Linked DNA regions of Astyanax mexicanus. The protein of the gene in region 2 purifies or fractionates together with the protein of the main gene of each other region. This does not show direct contact. Links are inferred from orthologs where the notes say so. Each region holds a gene or a part of one and is shown on either strand. Other genes may lie near its edges. The genes, in order: dnajb11 and ptpro.

Evidence for each region.
Region 1: the proteins of ptpro (region 2) and dnajb11 purify together in Homo sapiens (affinity purification with mass spectrometry; 3 studies listed by BioGRID and IntAct, with this or other methods). This does not show direct contact. The link is inferred for Astyanax mexicanus from reciprocal best matches to the Homo sapiens genes PTPRO and DNAJB11.

The regions. Positions count from the first base shown.
Region 1 is NC_064418.1:3,061,445-3,071,760, reverse strand, and holds the start of dnajb11 (dnaJ homolog subfamily B member 11), read right to left. Parts: upstream 4,611-10,316; 5' UTR 4,529-4,610; coding exon 4,455-4,528; intron 4,001-4,454; coding exon 3,844-4,000; intron 2,879-3,843; coding exon 2,781-2,878; intron 2,484-2,780; coding exon 2,351-2,483; intron 1,887-2,350; coding exon 1,744-1,886; intron 1,644-1,743; coding exon 1,561-1,643; intron 1,442-1,560; coding exon 1,384-1,441; intron 1,051-1,383; coding exon 939-1,050; intron 316-938; coding exon 156-315; intron 30-155; coding exon 1-29. Other genes in the region: rabl3 (rab-like protein 3), read left to right, coding at 5,708-5,753, 6,005-6,096, 6,701-6,830, 7,072-7,186, 7,899-8,049, 8,225-8,296, 9,364-9,402, 10,073-10,129. UniProt on the Homo sapiens protein: As a co-chaperone for HSPA5 it is required for proper folding, trafficking or degradation of proteins.
Region 2 is NC_064409.1:31,043,527-31,053,113, forward strand, and holds the start of ptpro (receptor-type tyrosine-protein phosphatase O), read right to left. Parts: upstream 4,236-9,587; 5' UTR 3,975-4,235; coding exon 3,840-3,974; intron 1-3,839.

The DNA.
Region 1 (10,316 bases), on a different chromosome or scaffold from region 2:
TGGAGCCTGCTTCAACAGCTGCTTTATACCTGCATGCAGAAAAAAAAACAACAAGAAAGATATTCATTAATACAGATATTCATTAAATAAACTGCAGTAAATAGAAAAATTAATTATTTCAGAATCTACACAAATAAAACCTGCTCTTCTCGTACCATCTTTCTGCTGATCATCAAGCTGTTCCTTGGGGAAATCCACATCAAATGTTATTATAAGTGATCCGCGGATATTGTTGTTGTCAAAGTTGGGAAGCCCTTCACCCTTCTTCCACAATCTGGATCCAGGTTTGGTGATTTTATCCCTGGCGATATGAACCTGCAACACAACAGTATGATGTAAATCAGGGGTCTGCAATAGGCAAGCATGAAACAGTTTGCCTGTGAGTTTGTTTTAACTATAAATGAACGATAATGAAAATAAATAAATAAATAAATAAATAAATAAAATAAAATGCCTCTCTGGTGAGCTTTTGTTCACATCCCTCCCCTGTCTCTCTGTCTCGCTCGGTGTGACTGTAGTTTCCACACATTCTCGTTTTTCTGCCCCTTTTTGGGGGTGTTTTTTCTGGTTGTGTCTCAATTCACTAGCCGGGGCAGCGGTGGTGTATTGGACCTCGACCCTAATGACATAGGTCCAATCCAGCTTGAGGAGCTGTGTTTTTTTTTTTTTCCTTTTCTTCTTCGGTTTACCTGCTTTGAGATCAACTGTTCTGCAATTGGGTTCAACAACCCTCTGGGCTGAAGAGCTACTAGTCTGTATGACTTTATCCCATTACATTTCATTACACTTCATTTTTCTTTTTTTTTTTTGTGGCCCGCTTGGAAAATATCTGGCCTGCACACAAAACTAAATTTCTGCGCCTTGATTTAAATAATAAACTTAAAAATGTCAGAAAACTTAAACATGGGATGAGCTAAAATAGAGATAATAATACTTGCCTTGTGACCGTCTAAATGCGTGATCTGCATTTCAAATCCAACCAGAGCCTCAACCAGACTGATGGTGACGTTAGTGTACAGGTCATCACCTCTGCGCTCAAACAGCGGATGTCTGCAGAGAAAAAGATATTGAATAAGTAGATGCATTAAGATTTCCCACTCTTCAGCAATTATTGGTAAACCTTTCTTTTACAGTCCCCTAAGTTCTAGGTACAGACAACCCCCTCTAGCAAAAAAATCTGATCCCTATTCAATGCAGGAAACCCCACACTCATGCATGCAATACAGTGCAATCCAAACTACATACAAACCTAGTGAGCCCAAAAGGCATAAATGATTCTATTTAAATTCAGTTTTCACTGACATGGAATGTTTCAATAGTTGCTAGTAATAAATTGATCCAGTCATTATCATAAAAAAATTAACTGAAATAACCAATCCTTACTTTAAGACTTTGATACGGAAGCGGAGATCTCCAGGCTCTCCGTCAATGTGTGGCTCCCCTGCACACAAATGACCAAACATATATTGCTGTTCTCAGATATATTTTTAACCACATACCAATACCTGCATTCTAGAACTTTGTATAATAAAATCATTAGTTTCACTGCGGTTAAAATACCTTCACCAATGAAGGGATATTCCATCTCATCTCTGACTCCCTGCTCAATCTCCACCTCTAGTGTCCTCTCTTCATTCACAAGCCTGCAAAGAGTAAAAACACACTGTAAACATGTGCGCACCATTTATCATCTATTAGCAAGTTACATCATTATTATTTGAGGAAAGTGGAAGCAGAACTTACTTAATGTTTGGGCATTCATCACAGACTACTTCCTGGGTCATCTGGAAGCGGCCTGGCCCGAGCTGTGTAGTTCTCATTTCCTGGCGACAGTTGCATTTCCTTTTTCCTGGTGCCTCTTTAGCAATTGGCTTGTTTCGCACTACCTACATAGTAAAAGAGGGAAATGTGAAGAGAGGAAATATGTGACAATAAGAAACAAGGAAGAACAGCATCCTTCCCATGCTGAACCAGAGGATATGACACGAAATGTATTAAAGGAAAAATCAGTTATAAATGCAAGTGAGTGTGTAAAATTGTTACAGAAGTCCAATTTCCAAACACTGGGTAGAGATTTCTGCCCTACCCACTCCTCCCCAGATGTGAAACTCATGCGGGTTGCCAAATTGGCACATAATGGTAAGCATCGAGTAGCTGTAGTCTGTAACTAATCAGTGAAATATATATGGTGGTAATATGGTGGTAAATAACAGATTACTGTGATGTTTTGCACAGCTCAAATAAGAATACGATTTAATTTAAAACATATTTATATAAAACATATTTATATAAAACACTTTATTAAGGAGTTATGGAATTATTAAGACCAGAGAATTAGTGGTTATCTTACCTCAACAAAATTTCCAGAATAAACCTCCTCCAGTGTAACTTCCAGGTCCAGGATAATGTCATTTCCTCTTGGGATGTTCCGGTCCTGCTGCTGCCTGTTTCCTCCAAACATAAACCCAAAGTCCCCAAAGAAGCTGCAACAAACATAGAAGAAATGTGAGTGTCATGATAGTCATATACATAGTGACAGTGGGGGCAAAAAAGTGCAGTGTAATACTACTGGACAACTGTATGAACACATACACTATATCCTCATTAAAAAAAAAAGTACTATAGCTGAGCTCTTCCTAAAGCTGTCTAGAACAGCCAGGTAGGTCTCTAACTTTCTGTTACACAATAAATACATGTGCAGTTTAACCGCATGTACTAAAATAAAAGGGAATTTAAAAAATGTCACCCCTTTAATAATATAATATTGCTTGGACACTTACCTGGAAAAGATATCACCATGCGAGCTATGATGACCTTCCTTCAGACCCTCCTCTCCATAGGCATCATACTGTTTCCTTTTCTCCTCGTCTGACAGCACCTGAGTTCAGATTACACAAGTCATTCATTAAGTGGTATCAGAATATAATAATTCATCAAGACAATAAAGAGGACAGTGGCTTTAACCTAATCTGGTTTCAATCTGTTCCTGATTAGTTTAATTGCCTTCTGATGTTCCTTTAATGATTGGAGAGATCAGTGCTGAGCAAGAAAAAGGCTTACTGTCTGTACACAGTTAAAAATTATGCTGTATTATTTGTACTGTAATTTGATTAGCCGTGTCACTGCGATACAGAAATTGTCAGAAACTGTAACACTGTATTGTGCTGTCTATTTTTGTGGGCGGTGCTAATCTGCTGTTTGATTGTTTGACAAATGTCTATTCTGATAGAGAACATATCTCAATTTGTGCAAAAAAGCGCAAAAACACAGAAGATAGAAGAAAACAGGGGTTAATGTATTTGAGAGCATATTAGTATATTTGGATTTATTTTCATGAAGCATGATTAAAACAAAGAAATAATAGGAATAATCTACCAACACAACCATTTATTACTTCCTGTGCTTTTTTTTTTAGTTTTGAGAACCTTATTTTTATCTGAAAAATGAATCAAAAGCGCCTGAGAAAACTGCAACTGTTAACTAATCTACCGCCAGAGCAGCTCCACGTCGTGTTTTCAATACTACCAGTCAGCTGACTTTTGACCAATCAGACGTAGCCACACATTTCACTCCACCAATCAGATTCATCCGTGGTTTCCCCAACACTGAAATGATGCCTGTCATACATACAGCTAAAGCCTTGGATATTATATTACAGTGACACACAAACAAACAAACAAATAAAAAAATTTTTTATATATATATACACATGTTTAGCTGCTCAAATTTGAAGAACTTTATATTAAGCTAATAAATAATAATAAACAGTATAATTTATATTAAAAATCACACTTCCAGCTTTTCAGCTGTGTGTGGAAATAGAAACAGAGACCAACAACACACCTCATAAGCAGCTCCGAGATCTGCAAATTTGTCCTGGGCACTGGGGTCATCAGGGTTTCGGTCAGGATGAAGCTGAAGTGCCAACTTTCTGTAGGCTTTCTTGATGTCTTTGATAGATGCTGATTTGCTAACCCCAAGAATCTTGTAGAAATCCCTCCTGAATGGATAAAATATTTGCAACAAAAGTGTGATTAGGAATTTAGGTTATATAATAAGCTAGCTGTATAATTTTAATTATAAGGCGATCATTGTGACTTCTATCCAGTAAAAAAAGAAAATCTAAGAAATTTGAAAGAATGAGAGACAATGGCTAAATACAGATGGTGTATCTTATCTAGGTTATCAGTTTTATATGTAACCTCTCCAAATACCTAACGATAATCTAAATACAGCTACAGCATTAAGGTTATTTATTTTATTCTTAAATCAAGACAAACGTCCCTCTGCGTAGTTAAATAGGTACATTTGATAGCCCTCCACTACAGCACACATGTAGCTCCAGAGAGTGGAGCGGCGCAGACCAATCACAGAAGAACATGTGTACCAGCCCAGAGACCCGCTTCACACAGCGGAGAAACTAAATACACAGAGAAAACAGCGCTGCCACCTACCCAGCCAGTACTGTCGCTACTAAATATAAGAGCAGACAGCATATACTCGATAGTTTCATCCCTCCCGCGGCCATAGGTCTCGCTTTAATCCCGAAGCGCAGTAAAACACACCGGCTTTCTGTGTGTTGTGTAGTGCAGTGACCGCTTCCTGTTCTAGGAGAAAGACACGCCCCCAATTTTCTTACCGGCTGCAAAGAAAGAAAAAATAAAAGTCCCTTAAAGGCCAGGCATTTCAAATTAACGGTTTAAATATGCAATTACACAGAAAGTATATATATAATACTAGCTATATAACGCTATTTTCATAACAATTTGATTATTACTATGAAGTAAAAAATATAATAAAATAGAAAAATCAAAGTCTCCAAGAACATTTCAAAATAATTATAAATAAAGCTCCGGTAAAGAAAAAATAAAAAGAATGACATGAAATTCAATGAAATTAAAAAATGATAAGTTTCTCTGATTTGACAATTCCTAACTATATCTTTAAGTAACATGAATATTGTTCTTTTATTGTATAAACAACTGATAACATTTCAATATTGTCGTTTAGAACATTTATTTGCAAAACAACAGAAAATATGCAGTAGTTTCGTACAATCTCAAACAATGAAAAAAAAAATCAAGGTCATATGTATAAAAATACAATATTACTAATGTTTTAACTCAGAAACAGTTCAGAAATCAATCAATATTTGGTGGAATAACCCTTATTTTTAATCATCTTTGCATGTTCTCCTCCACCTGTTTTTCACACAGCTTTTGGGTGATGTTGTGCCACTCCTGCTGAAAAGAAAAAAAAGTCAAGCAGTTCAGTTGTGATCTTCCTCTTGATTATATTCCAGTGTTTTTTTTTTATCAAGATATACGTCACAGTAAAAATATTCGTAAGTATTCTAATAACAAGTAGATTATTAACATTAAGTTAAAAAAATAAAAATAAAAAAAAATTTTGAACTGTTTATTTTAAATAAAATATGTTTATTTTATTTAACGTTTTCTTTTATTTCTTTTTTTTCAAAATGAAAGGTAACATTTGTTTGCAATTTGAGCTGCACTCTGGGTTATGTTTGCAAAGTAATAAATAAATAAAGTTAGTATTAGTGGAATTAATATTTTTTTTTATCTTATGCTGAGGTAATTCGACTTTTATTTTGCCTGATTTTCTAACAGGAAGTAGTGCTGTGTGCTTTCTCGGCGTCGCTAGTGACAGACAGTAGCTAGGTAAGGTTAGCTAACGCTAGCTAATAATGGCTTCTCTGGACAGAGTAAAAGTGCTGGTGTTGGGAGATTCTGGTGAGACACAGCTGTTAATGTTACACTATAATTGTTTATATATGATTCACGCCGTGTTTTATGTCTTGTTTTTAATCTGTCGGCTCTTTTAAACTGCTCTAGTGATACTTTAAGCTAGCACTGAGTAAACACTTGCAGGTTGACAAGCCAACCTAGCTAATGTTTAGCTAGCTCTGGCAGGGAGTTAAAATGTTTAATTAATTGTTTATTCGCCAATTTACATCGGCTTTAATCTTACTGTTTGGTTATAGGCGTTGGGAAATCTTCTTTAGTTCATCTGGTGTGTCAAAATCAAGTGCTGGGAAATCCTTCATGGACAGTAGGCTGCTCTGTGGACGTCAGGGTAAGGTTGACAACTTGGTTAACTTATACAGCTCATAAAAAATAATGAGATCACTTAAAAATTAGTTAAAAATTAGAGTTTCTTTGATTTTTATCAAATTGAAAACCTCTGGAATATAATCAAGAGGAAGATGGATGGGCACAAGATCAAACCAAACAGAACTGCTTGAATTTTTGCACCAGGAGTAAAGCAGCATAAAGTTCTCCAAAAGCAGTGTGTAAGACTGGTGGAGGAGAACCTGACATATTGATATTCAGAAATATGGATTTCTGAACTCTTAAAACTTTATGAATATTAACTTTTTTCTTTGCATTATTTGAGGTCTGAAAGCTCAGCATCTTTTTTTTTATTTCAGCCATTTCTCATTTTCTGTAAATAAATGCTCTAAATAACAATATTTTCATTTGGAATTTGGGAGAAATGTTGTGTGTAGTTTATAGAATAAAACAACAATGTTCATTTTACTTAAACATAAACCTAAAAATAGCCAAATCAGAGAAACTAATTTAGAAATTGAAGTGGTCTCTTAATTTTTTCCACAGTTAGAAAATACTGATTTAAAATTGATCATACAGATTAAATTTATACTAACCTCACCCTGCAGGTTCACGACTATAAAGAGGGCACGCCAGAGGAGAAGACCTATTACATTGAACTGTGGGATGTTGGAGGTTCAGTTGGAAGTGCCAGTAGTGTCAAAAGTACCAGAGCGGTTTTCTACAATTCAGTTAATGGTAAAGTAACAAAAATGAAGCACTGGAGAGTGCAGATATACAACATTTTGGATGCACCTCTTCTCATTTAATGTTTTCTTTATTACTTTACTTTACTTTATTACTTACTGGATATACATTGTGTATTGTTAGTAATATTGTGTCATGTTGGGTCATTGAGTTGTGGCCACCTCTAGTGAAAATGCCTGTATTCTTTAATATCGCTGGTAAAATATGGGAATGTCGTTTTTTTTTTCCTCAGGCATAATTCTAGTCCATGACCTGACCAATAAGAAATCCTCCCAGAACCTGTATCGCTGGTCGATGGAGGCACTAAACAAAGACTCGTCGCCTACAGGGGTGATCGTGTCCAATGGGTAAGACACTATCAGTTTAGGTGTAAAGGCTGAAATGATTATCTGTGTGAATAACTCAGTGTTTAGGCTTGTAATGTATGTATAACATGTCTGGGAACAGAAATTCTAATGTAGAAGTTTTAGTGCACATTTAGAAGCATGATGTGGCAGTGTTTTAGTTCCCTTCACTTTGTTACATAATTCTTTGTAATGTATGGACACAGAGAAATAATCCAAAATTACTTTTAACATTTAAAAATGACAGTTTCAATTTGCTTTGTCTTAAATCTAGTAAAATCGCGTGACAGTGACTGCACTGTTCTGTAATTTTATTAGATATTTACTTAATACTTACATCTTATGCCCCCATTGACCATGTGATATTTGGTGGTGGTGTAGTAAGTGTTAAGTGTATCAAACACAACATGTGCCGCTGTGGTTTAAAACACTTAGTATACTAACTGGCCATTTTATAACACCTACGTTACACTTTGTAATCTGATATAAGGTGTAGTAAGTCATGCTCAACACTTGATTTCATTTAATCTGTGTTTGGTTTCTCCCCCACTCCCTCTGCCATGTACATGGCACCGTTCTGAAGGGTAGTTAAGAAGGACTGAGTTTGGGCCTGTTTTGATGCAAAAATCCACACTTTAGAGAAAAATACTGCAGGATGATTACCTAAGAATAAATGTTATGCCTTGTTTTATTTATTTATTATGTGATCACACAGGGATTATGACAGAGAGCAGTTTGCAGAGAACCCCATTCCTCTCCTGATTATCGGCACCAAATATGATCAGATACCTGAAAACAAGCGCAGTGATGTTCTGACCCGCACCGCCTTCCTGTCTGAAGACTTCAACGCAGAGGAGATCAACCTGGTATGTGATTATAATGTATAAGAATTATGTTAATTAGCTCTTCACAATGTAAAATGTTCTACCTTGTAAAAAAAGAATAATAAAATGTATTTCTTACACTTTCATCTCTATTTGAATAGTAATTTCTGATTATCTATTAATGATACTGTTTTTTTTCTTCTATTTATACCTTTAGGACTCCACAAATCCACGTTATTTTGCTGCTGGCTCATCTAATGCTGTGAAACTGAGCAGATTTTTTGACAAAGTAAGATACTTCTATATAGATACATAGAAAACAGCTTTGGATTTTAATTTATTTATCAAACTAATTAATAATCAAACATCTTTACTGTTTATTCTCTTTACTTCTTCTAATGCTTCATAATATTAGTATGTACTGGAATATAATCTACCATAGTTGCAGTGGTTGTTTGCAGATGAATGTGAACCTTTTAGCAGCACCAAGCCTAACATTAGTAGTGACAGTTACTTCAGTATAAACAGTATTAACTCCTTTTATTCACCCTAATTTCAGAAGAGATTGACCAGTGATTGACCAGGTGTCCCAATACTTTTGTCCATATATTCAATTTTTTTCTAAATTTGAAGAATTGATCGGCAGAATGTTGTTTAATGAGCTGATACTAGCAATAAATATACAGATGCAAGAAAAAAAATATGTAAACCCTTTGTGAATACTCGGATTTTTGCATACATTGGTCATTAAATGTGTTCTGATTTTCATCTAAGTCACAACAATAGACAAACATTGTCTGCTTAAACTAAAACCACACACAAAAAAAAAAAAATATATATATATATATATATATATATATATATATATATATATATATATATATATATATATATATATATATATATATATATGTTTGCATGGTTTTATTGACGCAACATTTTAACATTCACAGTGAGTGGGGGGGGGAAAAGTATGTGAACCCCTAGGCTATGCAGATCTCTAAGGTAATGCCAAAGGGTTTACATACTTTTTCTGTATTAAACTGTATTTAATGCTTAATGCTGAATAATTATAAATTGTATTATGATTTTTTTATACATCTGTAGCTTACAGGCAAATATCTTCTCAGAACTCTTATAATAGAAGTAGTTGGGGAGGTGCAGCTATGTAGAGTGAAAGATTCTGTTGTGTAGACATTTCTTAGAAATGAGTAATAATAGGAACTTGACCACATTCGGCAGATTTAGTAGATCTTTTAGCAGATTATGATGAAAAACCCTTGTGGTCAATTCTCTTTCACTTCTTCAGAAGTGAAGGTTTGGTTGATTTTGTTCTTTTATCTTTCTGATTAAAAGGTTATCGAGAAGAGATACTTCACCAGAGACCCCAGCCAGGTGAGAAAACCACCCTGTTTATAGTTCTGATTGTGGCTTTGATGCTGCATGGCCTGTGCAAACTGTGGTCACAAATGCAGCACTTCAACTCTTTTTTTTACTCATTTCAACAACGTTGTTTTTTTTATTTTTGAAAAAAAGTATTTTTTTTTTATTCTGATTTAATTTTAGTTTAGTCACTATTAGCAGTGTGTTTTTCAGGGTTTCTACGCTCATTAAATTTAAAAATAGCAATTTTCAGGCCTGAAGAAGTTTGGGAAAATTAAAAATACTCATGGAAATTTGCAATCTACAATTGTGTTATCATTTATCAACGGAGAAAAGCTATTTTATTAATAATATTATGAAGTTAGTAATATTTTATTAATTTTATTATTGAAAATTGTGTCATCATTGCTTAAAGAATATTTTTTATCATTATAGTTTCAGTTTTTTTTTTTTTTTTTTTATTGTCTATGTCTGAACTGATGTTCTAAAGGTCGTATGGTCATGAAATTTTGCCTTGAAGACATGAAACAGTCCTGAAAAAAAAAAAAAAAAAAGCAATTTATTGGTTAAAAAGTGTAGTATGAACCCCGGTTTTCCCACTGTTCTTTCATGTGTTGTTTTTTACTTTCTTGCTTTACATAATTTCTTACTTGTTTATTAACTTTTCCTTTCTTTTCTGTAGTTGACGGGCTTCACAGACAGAAAGCGCTTTAACTTCAAGAGTCTTCACTACGACTGAACGCGGATAAACACTGCAGCGGCTTGTGGTTTTTGTTCTGGTTACTACTATCTCTGCTACAAACGCGTTTCTCACGACTGCATGTACGTCTGAGAAGGTTTGCGGTTTATTTCACTAGTGAAAGTACCTTAAAATAAGCAGGATCATAAGATCATAAGATCTTAAGATATGGTGTACCTTAAAGTCC
Region 2 (9,587 bases):
ACAAAAATCGGCCGATTAAATCGGCTGGCCGATCGATCGGTCGGCCTCTAATTAAAACCATGTTAAGCCACTAATATTGTGATATTATAAAAGCATTACAGTTTATTAAGAATATTCACACATTGGAATTGGAATATGTTTTTTAAAATATATATCCTAAATAAATAAAACAATTATCATAAAATATTTTTAAACAAAGTCGATATACCTGCTTATTTACATTAATAGGCAATGCTGAGGTCAACTAAATGTATTATTCTTTAGAACTGCTCATATTTTTTATTGAAAGATAAGTGCAATTATTGTGACAAAACTAGCTGACCCCAAGTGCAACACAGTTATCAACACAGCAATACAGGCTATCAAACCCCAGCCAATTTCTATAATATTTTTTGGGCTGGTTCTTTTTTGCAGTCATACTGAAACTCCATATTCAGTTCCCTTTTTTTCTTTTCAGTCATCACACTGTTTAATGTCCAGCCAGCAGCTCATTTTTTACCTAAAACAAATTTGGATGTTTCTGACTCTATAGCTGACTTATATTGAGGCAGCTCATTCGAAAGCACACACACTGGATTTCAAATGTTGTGTAGGTGTGTATGTTTGTATACTGGCTGCATATCTCAAACTGGTCAATACAACAATTATCTTTTGATTAAAACAGAATTATAATCAAAAGATGACCTTATTTTCAAAAATCATACAGTTAAAGATATCACATTCCTTTAGAAAAGAGCCTAAAGCAGAAGTACAATAAAGTATAATTCTGTGAGATTCCAAGGCTGTACTGCATGCACTGCTAATTTAAGATCTATCCACAGATTTTTGACTATGATTAAATTGGAGGGCTGTGAGGATTGTGGCAGTTTCTTCAGCTTGCACCTCTTGAGGCAGTCTATTATGGATTTGAAGGTGTGTTCAGTATGATTACTCTGTCATAGAAGAATTCCTCTCAGTATCTTAATTTTTTTACACATAATATGAATTTTGCTTCCAGAAATAGCTGTTATTTTACTGATTCCGACTTTCCTCTGCCAGTGGAATGTTCCCTGCTCTACTGTCTGCATCTTTTTTCATGAAATTTGGTAACCTGCTGTTATATTTGTGCATGTCTTTTGAAGTCAAATGGTCACTTTGCCTTGTTAGCATTTCTTAACCCATTTTACTTTAAATATGTATTCTATTATTACTATTATGCTTGAAAGATTATAAATCTACATTCAAAGCAATGCAAACTGTTAAAACAACCGAGAACCACCAGTGGTTCCAATGAATTAGGTTAATTCCATTACAAATCGAAGAAAGGGCTACCTGAAAACCCTTGCTATCTACTTATAGATTTCTACTGCTTTGTGAGCATCACTTATTTTAATTTTCAGAGATATGGATAGCTGCTTACAGACTTCATGACTGCAGATTGTTGAGAAAAGTTTTGAGGAGTCTTTTAACTTTAAGACTTTTGTAGATCCATTTCTCTTAAACTTGCTTTACTTGCTATTGTGACAACTCTTCATTGTTTGTCCAAAACAAGAGTATTAGAAGAGTTTATGGCTCTCTTGTTAGAGTGACTATCTCTACTTTTAACTACATTTTGGAGCATTGCTGTGAGAGAATGTTGATCAGATTCAGTGATTTGACAAGAGCTTTAGAGAGGTCAGGATGTTGAATGATTACGACACCACCTCATCCCTACTCCCCAACTCATCCTGAAAGTATTGGATGTAACTCCATTCCTCCAAAGAACACAGTTTCACTGGTCCACAGATCAATGCAGGGGGCTTTAACAACCCTCAAGCCCACAGGAGCTGAATGAATTTATTAGAAGGAGTGTCCACAAACATTTTGATATACAGCTCTGAAAAAAAATAAGAGACCACTTAAAAATTATTTTCTTTGATTCTACCAAATAAAATAAAAAAGCTGGAATATAATCAAAAGGAAGATGGATGATCACAAGCTGAACTGCTTGGATTTTTTCACCAGGAGTGGAATAAAGTTATCCAAAAGCAATGTCTAAGACTGGTGGAGGACACATGCCAAGATGCATGAAAACTGTATAGAGGGGTTGGACAATGAAACTAAACACTTGGTTTTAGACCACAATAATTTATTGTCCAGACGGACAATTCTGGTGGAAACAGGAGAGTTGAGGTGCACATTGAATTCTGCCGTGATTTGATCAGACGTGGTTTTATGTTTTTTGGATACAATCCGGGTTAGCACCCGAACATTCCTTTCAGACAGCTTCCTCTTGCATCCACAGTTAATCCTGTTGGATGTGGTTCGTCCTTCTTAGTGGTATGCTGACACTACCCTGGATACCGTGGCTCTTGATACATCAAAAAGACTTGCTGTCTTGGTCACACCTGCACCAGCAAGAAGTGCACCAACAATTTGTCCTCTTTTGAACTCTGGTATGTCACCCATAATGTTGTGTGAATTGCAATATTTTGAGCAAAACTGTGCTCACCCTGCTAATTGAACCTTCAGACTCTGCTCTTACTGGTGCAATGTGCAATTAATGAAGATTGGCTACCAGGCTGATCCAATTAACCATGAAACCTCCCACAAGTAGCTATTGAGCTGATGTGAGCCTTTTACATATTACAAAATGATAAACAAAATTCAATATCAGTTAATATACAGCTCTGGAAAAAAATCATTTTATCTGATTTTGCTATTCATAGGTATATGTTTGAGTAAAAGTAACATTGTTGTTTCATTCTATAAACTACAGACATTTTTCCCAAATTCCAAATAAAAATATTGTCATTTAGAGCATTTATGTGCAGAAAATGAAAAATGAAATGACAAAAAAGAAAATTCCGGTGGAATAACCTTGGATTTTACTCACAGTTTTCATGCATTTTGGTTTAATGGCTGTGATCATCTAGCTCCCTCTTGACTATATTCCAGATGTTCTCAAATTGGTAAAACCAAAGAAACTCATCATTTTAAGTGGACTTTTATTTTTCCAGAGCTGTATTTTAAGAAGATAAAGTGAATATTTATTACACATAATAATAAATATGTCCTGTCCTATATTTTACCCTCCTAAATTCCTCTTTGTTTAATCTTTTATCTGACATAAATTGAAAGCACTGACGGTGTCAATGTGAATAACAGAACACTTAATCTGAACCAGTAAATTAATCTGAACCAGAGTTTGATTGAAATGTGTTTAAAACCCGATTTAAACTGATGAGTTATTTGAGCTCGGGCTCAGTGAGCACTGCAGCACAGTGAGCTGTGTTGTTCTGTTGTGTGTAAAATGTGTGCTGGGCCTTTTTTAATCTCTGCAGCTGAAGCAGTTCAGTAAACAGTGAGCTGGACAGCATCTTTCTCAGGGTTCAGAGCTGAGGCTGCTAAGCAGCTGATAAAGAAATGCTCCCAAATAAAAAACATTTACAGCCTGGCTCTGCTCTGCCGCTTCCAGACTGCTCTCAGATCCCCAGACCGGCGCTGGACTCTGCAGTGGCAGGAGCAGATCCTCAGGCACAGAGCTTCAGCTGGAATGACCCAATTTTGCCTCAAGAAACATCAGCCTATGGGGAGCCGCACGGAGAGAGGCAAATACGATCAGCTCCAGAGCTCCGGAGCGGCGGCTGGAGATGGAGGAGATGGAGAAGAAGCGGTCGATTTCGCTTCGGGGAGGATTAATTAAGAAGATAAGCGAGTTTAATAATAATAAGGGATGTGGAGTGAACCGCCTGCCCGCTGCTGCTGCTGCCGCTGATGGTGAAGTAGGCAGACAGGGCATATGGCTCCCCCTCCTCCCCCACACTGTATCAGAAAGGGGGTGGGGGGTAATATCGCTGGGGTAAAAGACTGTATCCTACCTGGATGCTGAGGAGGAGGAGGAGAAGGAGGGCATGAGTCGGTGCTGCAGTCATCCTCGCTCCGCTCTGCGTCCAAACGCTGTTCCTCTGCTGCTGCTGCTGCTGCTGCTGCTCGATTCCCCGCGCCGCGCACATCCGAACAATGGCGAATTTTCTGCAGCATCAGACCGCTCGCTCCCCCGACCCCGGTGGTCCTCCAGCGCTAACCCCCACCACCGCCGCCGCCTCCGCGCGGTCTGCCCGACGCCCTTACGGCTCCCTCTGACTGTGTACCGCCGCTGAACAGCTCCTACATCCGTCCATGTGCTTCTTCTGGGTCCGACCGAGGAGGCAGCTCCAACCACGGACCACCAGCTTCAGGAGAGCAGACGGGCTGAATGGCTTTCTCTGTCTGCCCCTCTCTCTCTCTCTCTTTCTCTCTCACAAACACACACACACACACACACACACATTCACATACACATACACACTGACTCTCTCTCTCTCTCTCTCTCTCTCTCTCTCTCTCTCGCTCTCCTCCAGGCCCCGCCCTTCTCGCTGATTGGCAGGAGGGCGGCTAGAGACGGGAATGTCGATTCAGTACAGCTGAACCGATTCTATAGAACAGCTCGCTTAAATAAAACGGATCGAAACTGTTCGAACCATAACGTTTAAACGTCCCATATGATCAACTTTTAAACACATGTTTGTTAATTATACAGTAATTAAGGTTCGTTTGGCCTTATATACAGAACCAGTCAAAACTTTAGACACACCTCTTTCCAGTCTACGTCTTTTTTCCCTTTTTATAATTTAAAAAATGTTTTATAACATTTTATTCTAAAATATAGAAATAAAGAAAAACATTGAATGAGAAGGAGAACTTTTGACTGGTAAAAATACATAACCATTTTAACCTTTTCATTCATCTTTTTCTTATAGACTTATAGACTGCTGTGGTACGCTCTCTTTGAGCGTGATATATGTGAATTAGCTGTGCTGCATTTCATTTGTCTTAAAAAAACTGTAAAAACATTTTTTTACAACTACAGCATCTTAAAAACTACAAGATGAACTAAATACGCATTATTAAATGAACGTAAATATGCGGGGCTAGCTATCAGTTTAGACTGTTTTTAAATAAACTTAGGGTTGTGCAATGTGCAATTAATGAAGATTGGCCACCAGGCTGCTCCAATTAGCCATGAAACCTCCCACACGATATTAGTGCTAAAAAAGAAAACACTGAAAGTAGCTATCACTTGATCATCAGTCAAGTCACCATTTTAATTTAACACTGCACAGAGTATGAGTGTAACTGTAAACTGAAAATATTCCACTATCTCAGTGTGTTTCGCTGTGATTAAGTAAAAGGGTGAAGGGTTGTTATTAGAGGTGTGTTACACGTGGACAGCGTGTGGACAAAGCAAGAAAGATGGATTCAGTCATCCGATTCATCGTAAAGAATCGGTTCAATAGAAAGATTCGTTCAGAAGCCGGACCTCCAGAGTGAGGGGAGGAGAAATGGTGGTGGGGGAGGTTTAGTGGGACAGAGGGTCGACCACATGCTTTTCTTCTCGTGGCTAAAGGCTAACTCAGGCTGTGTGTTTTCAGGTTTCTTTTACTTGTACAAATCTACAGCTCCATGTTGATAAAATCGCGGAGAAGAGTAAAGAGAAACAGAGAGCAGGAGCCGTGTATTACTTTCAGCACCATGCTGCTTCACTAACTCAACATAATAGCTCATCTCAGCGCCTACACGATACAAGGCATATTCAGCCGAATCGGTGCTGTTTCTGTCCTCAGGAAATTACATATATACATGTGCACACAAAATAACTTATATATACATTTTTTAATTAATCACAGTGTCTTGTTCACTGACCTGGTTGCAAAAGTGAGATATGTAATTAAAAAAATAACAACTAAGTTAAATAGCATTTGTTACACAGAAAAAATAGCATTTGTTACCTGTCTGCACTCTCTAACTAAACCAAGAAATATAATTGTAAAAATCTTTCAGATGTATTTTTTTGCATTGTTGTGTGACTGCAATTTTTTTCATGATAAATCCATAATATTTAAGTTAAAATACACATTTAAGTTGTGTCCCTGGGTTTTCACTCCTGTTACCATAACACATTACCCCATCTGAAACATCTGGAACATTCTATAAGTCACATCTACAACAGGAAGTTACATCAGTAGGTTCTTTTGAAGATCATGGGAAGACCAAAATTAGGTTCTCTCATTTGTTTTGCTGTATATTTAATATTATTGTAACTATGACTGAGGATGTCTCAATGTTCTGTCCTGTTACCTCCATTAATTCTTAGATCTTATTTATTTGTTTATTTTTAAAATAAAAATTTGGGGGAAATCACTAGAATGTGCTCAGTGTCCTCATGATATTAGCATAGCCGTCATTTAGCTGTTTTTCATGTTTTTGCTAATTCTATGCTAAAAACTTAGTCCTGTTACTTTCAGTCCTGTTACTCTTTATGTTTTGAGTAACGAGACGGAAAGTAACAGGAGTGAGTTTGAGTAACAGGAATAAGTGCCAGTAACATGAGTGAGTGCCAGTAACAGGACTGCGTGCCAGTAACAGGAGTGAGTTTCAGTAACAGTAGTGGGTACTGTCCCTTGGTTTATGCATTTATTAATGTAAATATTAGCTAGTGTAAACCGCTTCTTTCCAATTCTGTTTGGTTCATCATTCATTCATCTGTTTAATAAATTGCACAATAAATATAATAATAATAATAATAATAATAATAATAATAATAATAATAATAATAATAATAATAATAATAATAATAATTTGATTAAATTCAGGGTTGGGTCTTCTTGATAAGATAAAAATAGCTTTGCATATTTTAGAAGAAATACATAAAAAGTGATTATTTTCTCATAAATATCAATTATTTGAACATGCAGTCAACCATTTCTTTAAATTAAATACTTATTTGAGAAAAAATAAATGGAATTGATGTTTTTAAATGTCACATGAGTTTTGTAACCATATTTGGCTTAAAAACCTTGTTAAAATTAAGTAAAGCTGCCTGACATTGACCAGTACATATTTTGCATAGTTAAATATGTGTTATTAGATAAAAACAATTAGGTTAAGTTAAATTAAGTTACAGCAAGCAAATGGCACCCATTTGGTAAAATTGACCAAAAACAGTAAAAATATATTGGCCAGAGACACACCTAGAGAGCATCTGTTTTTGTCAACTTCACATTCAAACCAGTATTTGTGTATTAGTAGCCTCCCCTGAGCTTTACTGTTCACATCTTTACTGATCTTTGGCTCGTGAAAAACATTATCACTTAAAACTTAAAATTTTTAAGTAATGTTTACTGAAAACGTAGGCTAAAAAAATTCTAAATGATTATATAAAAAATATAAATTGCTTTACACAATAATTCTACTTTAACTTTTGTGGTTAGGTAAATAAAATAGATTTGTATCAAGTATTTTTTTATTTCATTGAACTAAAACAAAGATAAATACTCAGAAAATTAGATGGAGAAAGAAAATGCTATAGAGTGAACAGCGTTGCACACACGAGTTAGCAGCTCGGAAAATAAGACTTGCAAAAAGAACAAAAAGGCAAAGTAGTCAATAGTACAGACTAAACTCAGTAATTATAAGTTGATTCAACTCAAACATTGGAATGTATATGTGGCCACAAAGGTTCACCTAACTAAAAGAAGTTGAGTAAGGATTGGAAATATCCAATTTACATAAAACAGAATTCATTTATTTGAGTTCAAACTAATTGTGGGTTTACAGTGTATAGGCAGATAAACAGTAAATCAAATACCTTATGCATAAGAAAGAGTATAAAAATGAGTGTCGATGTAAAAATGTGTTAAAATAGAACATTTACATAATATAAAATTTGCTATGTGCAGATCTGAGGAAGCATACAATATATGATTATTAACAACATATTTACCACTATTTACCACTTAGTTCTGCAAATAAATGGGAAACATATTACAGTGTCCAGAAAATGCCATATTTAAATTTGACCTATTCTCAGGTTGTTGCATATGACCCTTTTTAAACAATAATGCAGGTTTGTTTTGTAATGATTGGGTTCTGAGAAGTGATCAGTTACATCATGTTATAATACAAGAAAATATTGTGATTGGATTCATGACACAAAACTAGTAATGAGAATCACATTCTATATTTTTGTAGCTTCAAAAATGAGTGGCTTTTAGTAAGATCTGAAAACCATGAAAAGGGTGATTGCATGTATGTGTACGTATGTACATAATGTGCACAATTTAAAACATTTAAAGTTTTTAAAAGTCACATTTTAATTCTAAAAACTCACCAGTGATCCCATGCTTAAATACATCACTTACATTTTAGTTTCATACTAGTTACTGAATAATTTATTACAGTTACTGAATAAGAAGCCTTAAAGTGAATAATTAAATAATATTCCTGCAGAGTAGAGCTCACTTAAATATCTTCACTGAGCTCATTTTTTCTATATTGAGTATCAAATATTGATGTTTTAACTTCAGACATTTTCTCAGTTCAGGGTCATATTTAGATTGATTTGTGGGGGCACACCCTGGACTAAAGTGTATCTAAATGCATAATCTTACCGCCACTTCCTCTATGCACTGCTAATGGACAGAATGCTTGAATGTGCATTAAAAGTGTCTAGGATTTAGATTTATGTGGGATCAAAACCAGCCTCTGGTTGACTTTTTGTGCTTTTTTGTAAAATCCAGTCAAAAATAATCCAGTCAAAATAGTATTAGAATTATGGCATACTGTTTGACACAAGTTGAAAACAAAATCCTTGGGTTCACAGCGTGCATTTACAGATTTCTACAGCATTTGCTCTACTCTTCTGTAAGTGTTTGATTCGGATTGCAGTACAAAATATAATTTTTAAATTATCAGATAAGTAGCATGACTGATAATGAGAGAATTTCCACTTGAAATTGTTCCTAATTCTAGTGTATTGTCTTGTAATTTCTATAGAGGTTAAGAACATGATAACAGAATTATGAAATGAGTAATAGCTATAGGTTTCTTGGTATCCCTACAACCAATGATCCAATGAGGTCCTCAACGCATCACACCAAAACAGGGCCCAACTACAACTTCACTTTCAGTCAGTCAGTCAGTCAGTCAGACAGTCAGACAAAACAGCACATGTGCAACTGTAACAGGTTCATGGAGGAGCCCATTCTAACTAGCTGCATTACACTGTAGTACAGCAGCACAATGCAAAGCTACCATGATGCAGAATTGTCAGAAGACGTCATTTATTCATTCAAATATTTTGCCTGTGAATTCTACACCCCTCTATAGCTGAAAAGTGTACAAACCCTGGTTTGGAACAAATGCCTTTTACTTAAATGATGCACAAAAATGAGTACATGTCTTCATTACATCAAGGCTAGACTATTGTAATGCACTACTGTCAGGATGTTCCAGCATTAATTTAAATAAACTTCAGCTAGGTCACTCAGGTTTTGGACGGTGGAGTTGTTGGATGCCTGTGTTTCATGGTGCCTCTGTGTTTATGTTACTTTCTGGCTTTCTGCCTTTAGTTAGGTTGTTTTACTCAGATCTGCCGGAGTCATTAGCCACACTCTGATAATGTTTCATATTTTCTGTTTTCCATAAATCCACTCAAAACTAATTTCATCTTTCTGCCTTTCTCCGAGTTACTGACTGCCCACCTGTTTGGCCAAAGGATGTTTGACCATTCCTGTGACCTGTGCTTC